Macaca fascicularis: one gene and its partners. The protein of the gene in region 1 interacts with the protein of each later gene in a pairwise test. Links are inferred from orthologs where the notes say so. Each region holds a gene or a part of one and is shown in the gene's direction. Other genes may lie near its edges.

Region 1 (3,518 bases):
AGGAAAAGAGAGTATCCGTTCTGGCGTCTCATCCTGACTGGGTGCAGTGCCTGAGCCCCACAGCTGATCTTTCCTCCCCATCCCCAAGGCAGAGCTCCACCCCAGTCAGCTGGTCTGTTCAAGAAGAAATGTACTAAGTGAATGCATACTATAGTGTGAATGATGGATAACAGCTTTGTGGGCCCCCTTCCCCTAGGGGGCTGTGCTTAAAAGTCAGGGGACTCCTAGGCCAACTGGTCTGCCTGGGACACCAGTGGACCAGAGTGGAGACTGGTCTTGACATGGCCTGGGCCCATTTCCCCATCCGCAACCAACCCAGGGAACATCCGAGTGATTGCTCGTGTCCGGCCAGTCACCAAAGAGGATGGGGAAGGACCTGAGGCCACCAATGCTGTGACTTTCGATGCCGACGATGACTCCATCATCCACCTGCTGCACAAGGGAAAGCCTGTGTCCTTCGAGCTGGACAAGGTGTTCTCCCCACAGGCCTCGCAGCAGGACGTGAGTGTGGCCCCATGCGGGAAAGGGAAAGCAATGGAGAGAGGGAAAGACGGACTCACAGGGAGGGAGAGGGGCTGGGCAGGAAGAAGCATAAGAGTGGGGGGTACAGGAATCAGAAGTGGGGAGCCAGGGTCCCGCACCTTCCTCTGGAGGACAGAAGAGGGTGGGAAGTTAAGACTGAAGGCCTTAGAAGCCTCCTTTGGAAGGAGAGATCCAGAAACAGCCCATCCCCTCCCATGGCTGTGGTTCCTTCCATCCCCAAGGCCCCTTCTACCATGTGGCCCCGCCCACCCTTAAGGCCCATCCCACTATCATAACCCATTCCATTCTCTCAGCTATGGCTCCTCCCACCATGTGGCCCCTCCTATATCCAGTCCCTTCCACCACATGGCCCCACCCACAGCCTCTCCCACCGCCATGGCTTTGGGTCCTCCCATCCACGTGGCTCCTTCTACTGCATGGCCCTGCCCACTCTCAAGGCCCCTCCTTCCATCACAGCCCATCCCACCCTCATGCTGTGGCCCCTCCATCTGCATGGCCCCACCCACACTCAGGCCCCTCCCACCATGTGGCCTCACCCACCTTCAGGCCCCTCCCACTATCACAGCCCCTCCCACCCTCATGGCTGTGACTGCCCACCCACATGGCCCCATCTGTCTTCATGACCCTGCCCATCTTCTCCATCTGGGAGTACCCTCCTGTATCAGTCCCCTGGGCCTTCCTAGGAATCCCCCGACCCCCAGAGGCTGTATGAGAACCATGTGTTCTCAGTGTCCACTCTTCCCTTGTCTCTGCCCAGACCAACCTGCTAGCCCTACCAAGGCCTGTGCCCTCCTGTTCTCATGTCTGGTTCTGTCTTTGCCCCCATCCGCTGATGGCTGGCAGGCAGGCCCAGGCCAGAGAGTCCCCAGGCATGTGCTGGCCTCTGCCTTCCTTGTGCTGAGCGCTCTTTGAGAGAGAGCAGGAGGAGCTGGGGGAAGGGCAGCAGGCACCAGCCTGTCTTCCCTGCAGTCTTTGGGCGGCCCAGTTGCCCACTGATGTCTAACATATGACTCACGAATCACGAATCATTGTGAGCTGAGTGACTGCAGTAACACGTGCTGTGGTGTTGCTGAAGGACAGCATGGTTGGGGAGGTGGCTGGACTTGTAGCTGGTGGTCCCAGTGGCCCTGGAAGCCCCCCACCAGCCTCCCTGCCACCATCTTCCCAGGTGTTCCAGGAGGTGCAGGCCCTGATCACCTCTTGCATCGATGGCTTCAATGTCTGCATCTTTGCGTACGGCCAGACGGGTGCCGGCAAGACATACACGATGGAGGTGGGTGCTGCCCCACGGGGTGGGGGTTCACAGTGAGGTATGAAGGGAATGCGGGCTCCTTCATTGGTCTTGGGGTTTTGTGCAGTGTGTGTTTTGCCTCATTTGGTCCTCACAACTCAGGAGCAGAGGCTGTAGTTATCTGTGTTAGCCCCAAGGCACCAGGCCTTAAGAGGGGGCCCCCTTGCCCAACGGTACCCACAATGGGCCCAGCAGGACTGGGGAAGAGGCAAGGGGGGTCTGTCATCACAGGGATCTTGGCCTGGGGACAGAGTCCAGGGCAGGCCACCCACCTCTCTCAGGACCGGGGCTGCATTTCACCTTGACTGTGCACTGCACGCCCCTGCTTTATGGCTGCCTTGGCCGGGCCTGGGGGATCTGGGATGAGTGGTTGGTCTCAGTCCTCAAGGAGATCCCAGGGCAAGACTGGCATGCGAAGGCTGTGGTGGGGAGCCCAGCTCTTGCTGGTGGCCCCTGGGGCCAGGCCAAGGCTTCCTCTCCCTGCCTGTCACCGGCGCCCTCCCAGGTGTGGTGGAGCAGGTGGCTGGCCAGGGAGGGGGGCATTGAGATGAGGAAGGATCTTGACTGTGGGCAGAGGGCAGTGGAAAGCTAGCCCTGACTCTTGAGGGGGTGCTGTGGGATTCCCTAGGTCAGAAGGAGGCCAGGTGGTACGGCATCTGGGCAGGGGAAAGGGCTGGCCAGGCCTGCTGGGCAGGGAGCCTGTCATGGCGGCCCTCTATTTCCCATCTGGACTCTGCTGTTCCCTCAATTCTGGAACTAGTGAGACTAGTTAGTGGGGGGCAGGCCAGGCCAGGTGGGAGGAGGAAGGGGGTGTGTGCAGCATCCCCTGGGCTCCCTGTTCTGCTTTGGGATTGCTTAGAGTTGAGTTGACCACCAGAAACATCAGCGTTCGTCCTCAAGCGTATCTGCTGATGCCTGAGGCATATCGGGCATTGTGCCAGGTACAGCTTTGACCCAAACAGTCCCTGCCTCCACAGGGGGCCCTCCCCACAGGGCCAACCTGGCTGTGGGGAGGCAACACAGTCCACATAAATCAGCAAGTGTCCTGTCAGGCCAGGGAGAAAAATAAAGCCAGGGATGTGGAACTGACTAGGGGGAGGGACAGGGCGTTTGGGGGTGCTGGGCGAAGGAGCAGCCTCCCTGAGGGAGATGACAGAGCCGACCACGGGGAGGTCAGAGGAGCACCCAGGGCAGAGGGAGCTGCAGGGCCAAGGCCAAGAGGCCAGAGCATGCCAGGGGCACCTGAGGCCTGACCAGGAGGCCCCTGTGGCAGGAATAAAGAGAGGGTGAGAGATACTGTCAGAAGAAGGGCGAGGGCCAGGCTCCCAGGGCCTCGAGGGCCCAGGTAGGGACTCCAGGTTTCCTTCTAGAAAGGCCGGCCCACCCCTCCTGCCCCAGGACACTGGTCCACTCCTCCCTGTGCCTCCTCTCCACCACCCACAGAGCCCAGGCCTCAGCCTCCCTGAGATTGAGCCCCTTTCTGGGCAGTGGTGGGGTCATTCATTTCCAGCACCCCTCCCAGGTGGCCCCACAGGGCCAGGCATGCATCTGGCCGTCAGCTGGCCTATGTGGGGTCTGGGCCAGGCCCCTCACCCCAGTGCTGGACAATGAGTCTCAGGGTAGTCCTGGCAGGGCGATACCATTTTAATGGTGGGGAAATAGAGGTGCAGTTGCCTGCAGCTGG
Region 2 (3,518 bases), on another chromosome or scaffold:
TTGTATTTTTAGTAGAGACGGGGTTTCGCCATGTTGGCCTGGCTGGTCTCGAACTCGTAGCCTCAACTGATCTGCCCATCTTGGCTTTCCAAAGTGCTGGGATTACAAGCATGAGCCACTGTGCCCAGCTATATATATTTTTGTGTTTGACACAGGTTCTCACTGTATCACTCAGGCTGAAGTGAGTGCCTTGCTGTGGTCACGGCTCGCCACAGCCTTAACCTCCTGGACTCTAGTGATTCTCCCACCTCAGCCTCCCATGTAGCTTGGGACCACAGGCATACACCACCATGCCCAGCTAATTTTTTTATTTTTAGTAAAGACAAGGTCTAACTTTGTTGCCCAGGCTGGTCTCGAACTCCTGGGTTTAAGCAGTCCTCCTGCCTCAACCTTCCAAAATGCTGGGATTACAGGCATGAGCCACCGCACCTGGCCCCCTCATTAATTTTCTAAGGTTAAACTATTCTTGTAGTCTTGAGCTAAATTCTAATAAGTTGTGTTGGCTTAGGGGTTTTTTGTTTCGGGTTTTTTTTTTTTTGGTAGTTTTTATATCGCTGGGATAAATTTGCTCTTATGTTATTTAATATTTTTGTATTTGTGTTTGTAAGTGAAATCCACCTAAAGTTTTCCTTTGAACTGTCCAATTTGGTTATCAAGGTTATACTCATAAAATAAGTTGGTTAGTTTTCACTGTCTCTCTTTGTTCACTAGAATTGTTTATATTTGTAGGCTGGGTGCTATGACTCACGCCTGTAATCCCAGCACTTTGGGAGGCCGAGGTGGGCGGATCTTGAGGTCAGGAGATGGAAACCATCCTGGCTAACACGATGAAACTCCATCTCTACTAAAAATACAAATAATTAGCTGGGCATGGTGTAGCGCATGCCTTTAGTCCGAGCTACTCAGGAGGCTGAGGCAGGAGAATTACTTGAACCCAGGAGGCGGAGGTTGCAGTGAGCCGAGATCATACCACTGCACTCCAGCCTAGGCGACAGAGTGAGACTCCGTCTCAAAAAAAAAAAAAAAAAAAGAATTGTATTTATAACAGATTACCTACTCTTGCAGGTTTGATAACACATAAGGTAAAGGAAAAGAAGGTAGAAATAAGTAAGATTAGAATATTGAGTCATGTGGTAATATGTTATAAAGGCTGCCGTGGAAATCCCAGAGGGAACTACAAGAATGCCTGAGCAGCATTTTAGTTTTATGTTCCTGCAGAAATCATCCTTACTATGTGGTGGGCACTGTTACAAATAATTTGTTTAAGGGTATAGTTGAGGTGGGATGCCATGAATTTGTGATGGATGCAGTCTGCCTTTTTGCGGGGGACTTTTTTCTACTGTTTCACTGCCTGCCTTCCTCCACTTCATTGTACTCAAGGTAAGCCTCATTATCATCAGTGTTGGCTTTCACAAGGAGGCAGTCTCGTGACTTGGCCTTTGTAGGAAAACACTATTAGATGAATAGATGGTTGGGTAGTGGCTCTTTCTTCTCCTGCTTAGACTCTTGTCTACTATGAATAAAGGGCTCTATTTGCAAAGGCCATAATGGGATGAAGCACATTGAGAAACAGGCTACTGAAACATAGTTATTTTTCTCACCCAGGTGAGATTTCAATGGAAAAAGTGAAGGTAAAGCGTTATGTGTCCGGAAAGAGGCCAGACTATGCCCCTATGGAGTCCTCAGATGAGGAAGATGAAGAATTTCAGTTCATTAAGAAAGCCAAAGAACAAGAAGCAGAGCCTGAGGAACAGGAGGAGGATTCATCTAGTGACCCCCGGCTACGGCGTTTACAGAACCGTATTAGTGAAGATGTGGAAGAGAGGTAATGTCTGTGATTGTGTTTTACTTGAACATGAACCTCTACAGCTTAATAATAATAGCTAATACTTGAATAGTACTGCCAAGTAGCTGACATTTGCTAATTGTTGTAATCCATACAATAGCTTTATGAAATAGGTGCTATTATCCCCATTTCACAAAAGAGGAAACTAAGAGCACAAAGGGGCTAAGAAAGTTACATGACCAAAGTTACAAAGTGGCAGCTTCAGAAAACAGCAGGTTACTTCTGGCCTAAAGGACCTACTCAACTCCTTACGGGAATAGAAAACACAGACCATTCGTTGGCTGTTGAGGGGAGTCTTTTTAGCACAAAGATGTTTTATAAACTTTGGTAAATTGATTTTATACATCTGCTTATTCTAAATGCTAATAAGGGGAAATGACACTGAAGCAGGAGAAAAGACCTCATAAAGGTCTCATTGTAGAAAGTCTCCCAGTGAGGGATTTTGTATGTTATATACTGATTGAGACATTACCTTAATAGAGCAGACCAGGGGTCCTGAACTTTCACCGTTCATAATTGTCCCAGGGGTTTTTTCACAGAGCTCCTGGGCCAAAACAGTTCTGTTTATTTTAGTTAGTAAGTAGTTAGAGCCAAGTAACTTAATAAGTATTTATGTCCTAATAACTTTGCCACTTGAAAATTACAGTGCCCATGGCCGGGCGCAGTGGCTCACACCTGTAATCGTAGCACTTTGGGAGGCCGAGGCAGGTGGATCACGAGGTCAGGAGTTCAAGACCAGCCTGGCCAACTTGGTGAAACCCCATCTCAACTAAAAATACAAAAAAATTAGCCAGGCATGGCAGTGGGCACCTGTAATCCCAGCTACTTTGGGAGACTGAGGCAGAGAATTGCTTGAACTTGGCAGGCGGAGGTTGCAGTGAGCCGAGATCATGCCACTGCACTCCAGCCTGAGTGACAGAGTGAGACTCCGTCTCAAAAAAGAAAAAAGAAAAAATAAATAAAATTACAGTGCCCATGGGGAAAAAAACACTTTTATTCATTCTCACATAACCACAGTTACTAGTGGAATTTGTGTGCCTATTGGACACTGACAGCCTTGCAGACCTTGGAATCAGCACTGTCACTTTTTCATGTCTTGTTTTATATTGATATTCACACTGTACTTTTTACCACAGCAGCCACCAAAACCCAATTTCACGAAGATACGATATTCTCAAAAGGAATGTAATATGACTTAATGTTGAAACTGAATTACCTTGAGCTATTGAAAATATCCCAATGCAGGCCACGCTCGGTGGCTCACGCCTGTAATCCCAGCACTTTGGGAGGCCAAGGCAGGCGATCACCTGAGGTCAGGAGTTCAAGACTAGCCTGGCCAACATGACGAAACCCCCTCTCTAGTAAAAATACAAAAATTAGCCGGGTGTGGTGGTGCACGCCTGTAATCCCAGCTACTCAAGAGGCTGAGGCAGGGAGAATCGCTTGAACCTGGGAGGGGGAGGTTGTGGTGAGCCGAGATCACGCCATTGCTCTCCAGCCTGGGTAACAGAGTGAGATTCTGTCTCAAAAAAAAATCCCAATGCATCCCTATGAGTTTGCTGGCTTGCTGTGGTGCCTTAGGATGCCTCAACATACGTTTAGTATTTCAGGCCAAACTTGGCTATTTGCTCTGACATCCTAGTCTAGTTCCTTTAATCTGCACCTCAGTTTC
Region 3 (3,518 bases), on another chromosome or scaffold:
TTAAGAGGAAAGGGGAGGAGTCTAGAATGATTTCCAGGTAAGTTGAAAATCCTAATGGAGTCAATGTTTTATTTTAATCTTAAAAAATTGTTTAACTTTTGTGTGGTATTTTTGTACTGATTCATTTGAAATATTAGTTAATAGCTTGCTAAATATCCTTGGTTGAGATCATTTGATTTTCAAAATGTTTTGATCCTTTCAATACTTATTTCCAATAAGTATACTTTATTTTCTAACTCTGGTCCTTTTGATTTTGTTCTAAATTCACTTTCGGCGTTACTTTTATGATTTACTAACTCTTTAACTTAATATACCTGCATGATGAATATATTTCAGAAATTTGAACGAAAATAGTATTCTTTCCATATATTAAAGTTAGTTCGCTTAAAACCTATATAAACATTTTAGGTTAAAACTTTAATGTTCATAATTTAAAATAACAATATACTTGTTTTAGGTGTGTCTCTTAGATATTGTAGTTATTTTAAACTTAATAATTACTTTCTGCTAATGCATACTATTTGTTTAGGCCCATGACATGGTTAACTGACTATGTAGACTTCTTAATTTAAAAAGAAATGGCAAAACAGACAAAATGCTGCTAAAGAAATTTGCAAAGGTCTCAGAGAGGGAAGAATAGAAAAGAAAAAGAATAGCAGTATTCATCTCTACCTGACTGCTCCCCCCACCTTCCATTTTCAAATTCCAAGTATTTAGTTGAATACTTGCTGAATTTTTTTCAGTATTTTTATTGGACTTGTTTAAAAAAAAACACAAAACTTAGGTTTGCTGCACTTAATGAGTTTTCTTTCTTTTCTTTCTTCTTTTTTTTTTCCTTTTTAATATGTAAAAGCACATATCAGAGCTAATTTTTCCCACGTGAAATGGGCCTTTCCAGTGCTTATTTATATTTACAGGACGGTTTAATACAGCAGTGTGGTGAGACAATGAAGGAAACAATTAATGTGAAAACTGTATGTGGCTATTACACATCAGCAGGGACCTATGGATTAGATTCTGTAAAGAAAAAGTGAGTTACCTTTCTCATTTTTCTTCCTATCCCACTTTAGGAATTTGGTTGCTTTAGTTTCTTAAGAGAATGTATAGCTATAAGAAGGAAAGAATTAAGGAAAATTAGGATAGGGGAATGGAATTTTGTTAAATAAAAAGCCCATTTTAACTTTTGGACTAATTAGTAAATTCCTCAAAAGTATTGCCTTTGTCAGTGACCATATGGGTTATATATATGCTTATAAAAACCTTGGTCACTCTTGGTCAGGTGTAGTAGCTAACACCTGTAATCCCAGTGATTTGGGAGGCCAAGGCAGAAGGATCACTTAAGCCCAGGAGATCATGACCAGCCTGAGCAACATAGGGAGACCCCATCTCTACAAAAAATTTAAAAAATTAGCCAGGCATGGTGGCATGCACCTGTGGTCCCAGCCATTCTGGAGGCTGAGGTCAGAGGATTCTTTGAGCCCAGGAGGTTCAAGACTGCAGTGAGCTGTGATCATGCCACTGCACTTTATAGTATATTTTCTATTAAAATTGTTTAAGAAGTAGGCCTGATAGACATTATATCATTGCAATGACTGACAGTCCTTCTAACTCTTGAAAGTTGCAGTACCTGTTTTGAGATTTTAAAGGTTATAGTACTATGCAGACCCCTTGATAAACTATTTAACACAAACTCAAAATGAAGTTTTAAAACTAGAAATGCTCTCATTAATATAAAGGAAATATTCTCTTAATAATATCCACTGACAAAAATAATACTAAATTTCCTATTGTTAAGTTAAAAGTTTTGAGCATGTTCTGGCAAGATTAATATTCTGATTTTAACTATAAGTCCTACTTAATAAATTGTAAATACATGGTATATAATATAATAATTATATGTTTTAATTTCAGGTGCCTTGAATGGCTTCTAAACAATTTGATGACTCACCAGAATGTTGAACTTTTTAAAGAACTCAGGTATTTGAATTTCAAGTAACTTTATAATTAGTCATCCTAAAATATTGTTTATCATTTGTTAAAGTACGTAACATTTTTGTAGAACACAAAAATATGAAAAAGCAAACAATTTAATGAAAGGGCTTGACTACATCCATAAGCTGAAGAAATGCTACACAAACTTATTTCTTTGTTGTGAATAATATAATGGATATTATGTCTACCGTTTTAACCAATTTTAATAGAAAAATGCATTACTGTTATAAGACTATAGAAAAGTTTCAGGTTTTGCCAGACTTTTAGAGAATTTAAAAGGTATATTTTAAAAATCATCTTTATTATTGAGAAATAAGTTTGAAGAAACTGTTTTGGCCTTTTTTTTTTTTTTTAACCTTCAAAAACTTTTCATGTTGATCGGTTTTCTCACTAGAATGAATTCTCTGATGTGGCGTAACAAATGTGTGGCTCCTATAAATGTACATTTTTCCGTCTCTGATTATTTCACTCCTTGAATTCAAATCTGTAATCCCAGCTACTCTGGAGGCTGAGGCAGGAGGATTGCTTGAGCCATGGAGGTCAAGGTTGCAGTGAGCTGTGATTGCGACACTGCACTCCAGCCTCAGTGTGAGTGAGACCCCATTGAGACCAAGTTACCATAGTTCTTCACTGTCACCTCCTGGTACAAGGTCTTCTGAACCAGGTCAAGGTATTCCCACTCCTGATGAGAGAAGTCTATGGCCATGTCCCTGAATGTTACGAATTCGCAGGCCATGGTTTTAGACAATCAAAAGCCAATCAGTCCTCAGGGTTTCTCTACCAGAAAAGCAGATTTAGGAAAACCTAGACCTGTAATCCCAGCACTTTGGGAGGCCAAGTTGGGAGGATTGCTTGAATCTAGGAGTTCGAGATCATCCTGGGCAAGATAGTGACGTCCCCTCTCTTTGAGAAAATAGCAGTCTTCCTTTAAAAAAAACTGTTAGCACCACACAGGGTCCCATGCAGGCTTCAGGCTGGGGCTGCAGAGGCTCCCACAGTCAACTGCACTGCCTTCATCTTCAAGCGGGACCCGGTCGCACACAGCACAGCACAGAGCCAGAGGTCCTGGAGATGGAGCCAGAGGGCCAAGATTTCTCTGTCACCTGTGGACCATGTAGTCCAAGCTGGAATAATAGGACCGCAGTCACCCATGAGAAATGGATTCCAGGGTTCTAAAAACCTACAAGATATATGGCGGTGACAATGAGGACTGCCCACCACCCAAGCTATATAGCAGTCTTTCTTTATTAAAGAGATGGGGGCCTTGCTATGTTGCCCAGGCTAGACTCAAACTCCTGGGCTCAAGCAGTCCTCCCACCTCAGCCTCCAAGTAGCAGGGATTATAGGCACATACCACTGCACCCAGCTTAGTTTGGCTTTTTGGATTAAGTACGCATATTATCCATTTATTCCTGCAGCAAGTACTTCCTAACTGTTCATTATGTAAAGATACTCTGTTTGTGGCTGTGAAGGATGCAGAGATGATTTTGTCATGGTCTCTTGCTGTCAGGGAACTTATTTATAGT

The links. The genes of interacting proteins can lie anywhere in the genome.
Region 2: the proteins of KIFC3 (region 1) and MFAP1 interact in binary tests that used the Homo sapiens proteins (3 or more experiments, as listed by UniProt). The two-hybrid records come from large-scale screens. The link is inferred for Macaca fascicularis from reciprocal best matches to the Homo sapiens genes KIFC3 and MFAP1.
Region 3: the proteins of KIFC3 (region 1) and GMCL1 interact in binary tests that used the Homo sapiens proteins (3 or more experiments, as listed by UniProt). The two-hybrid records come from large-scale screens. The link is inferred for Macaca fascicularis from reciprocal best matches to the Homo sapiens genes KIFC3 and GMCL1.

The regions. Positions count from the first base shown.
Region 1 is NC_088394.1:53,868,182-53,871,699, reverse strand, and holds part of KIFC3 (kinesin-like protein KIFC3), read left to right. Parts: intron 1-319; coding exon 320-501; intron 502-1,711; coding exon 1,712-1,816; intron 1,817-3,457; exon of another isoform or gene 3,458-3,518. UniProt on the Homo sapiens protein: Minus-end microtubule-dependent motor protein. Involved in apically targeted transport. Required for zonula adherens maintenance.
Region 2 is NC_088381.1:20,401,570-20,405,087, reverse strand, and holds part of MFAP1 (microfibrillar-associated protein 1), read left to right. Parts: intron 1-1,605; coding exon 1,606-1,825; intron 1,826-3,518. UniProt on the Homo sapiens protein: Involved in pre-mRNA splicing as a component of the spliceosome.
Region 3 is NC_088387.1:52,099,665-52,103,182, reverse strand, and holds part of GMCL1 (germ cell-less protein-like 1), read left to right. Parts: intron 1-853; exon of another isoform or gene 854-884; coding exon of another isoform or gene 885-917; coding exon 918-1,030; intron 1,031-1,911; coding exon 1,912-1,977; intron 1,978-3,518. UniProt on the Homo sapiens protein: Possible function in spermatogenesis. Enhances the degradation of MDM2 and increases the amount of p53 probably by modulating the nucleocytoplasmic transport.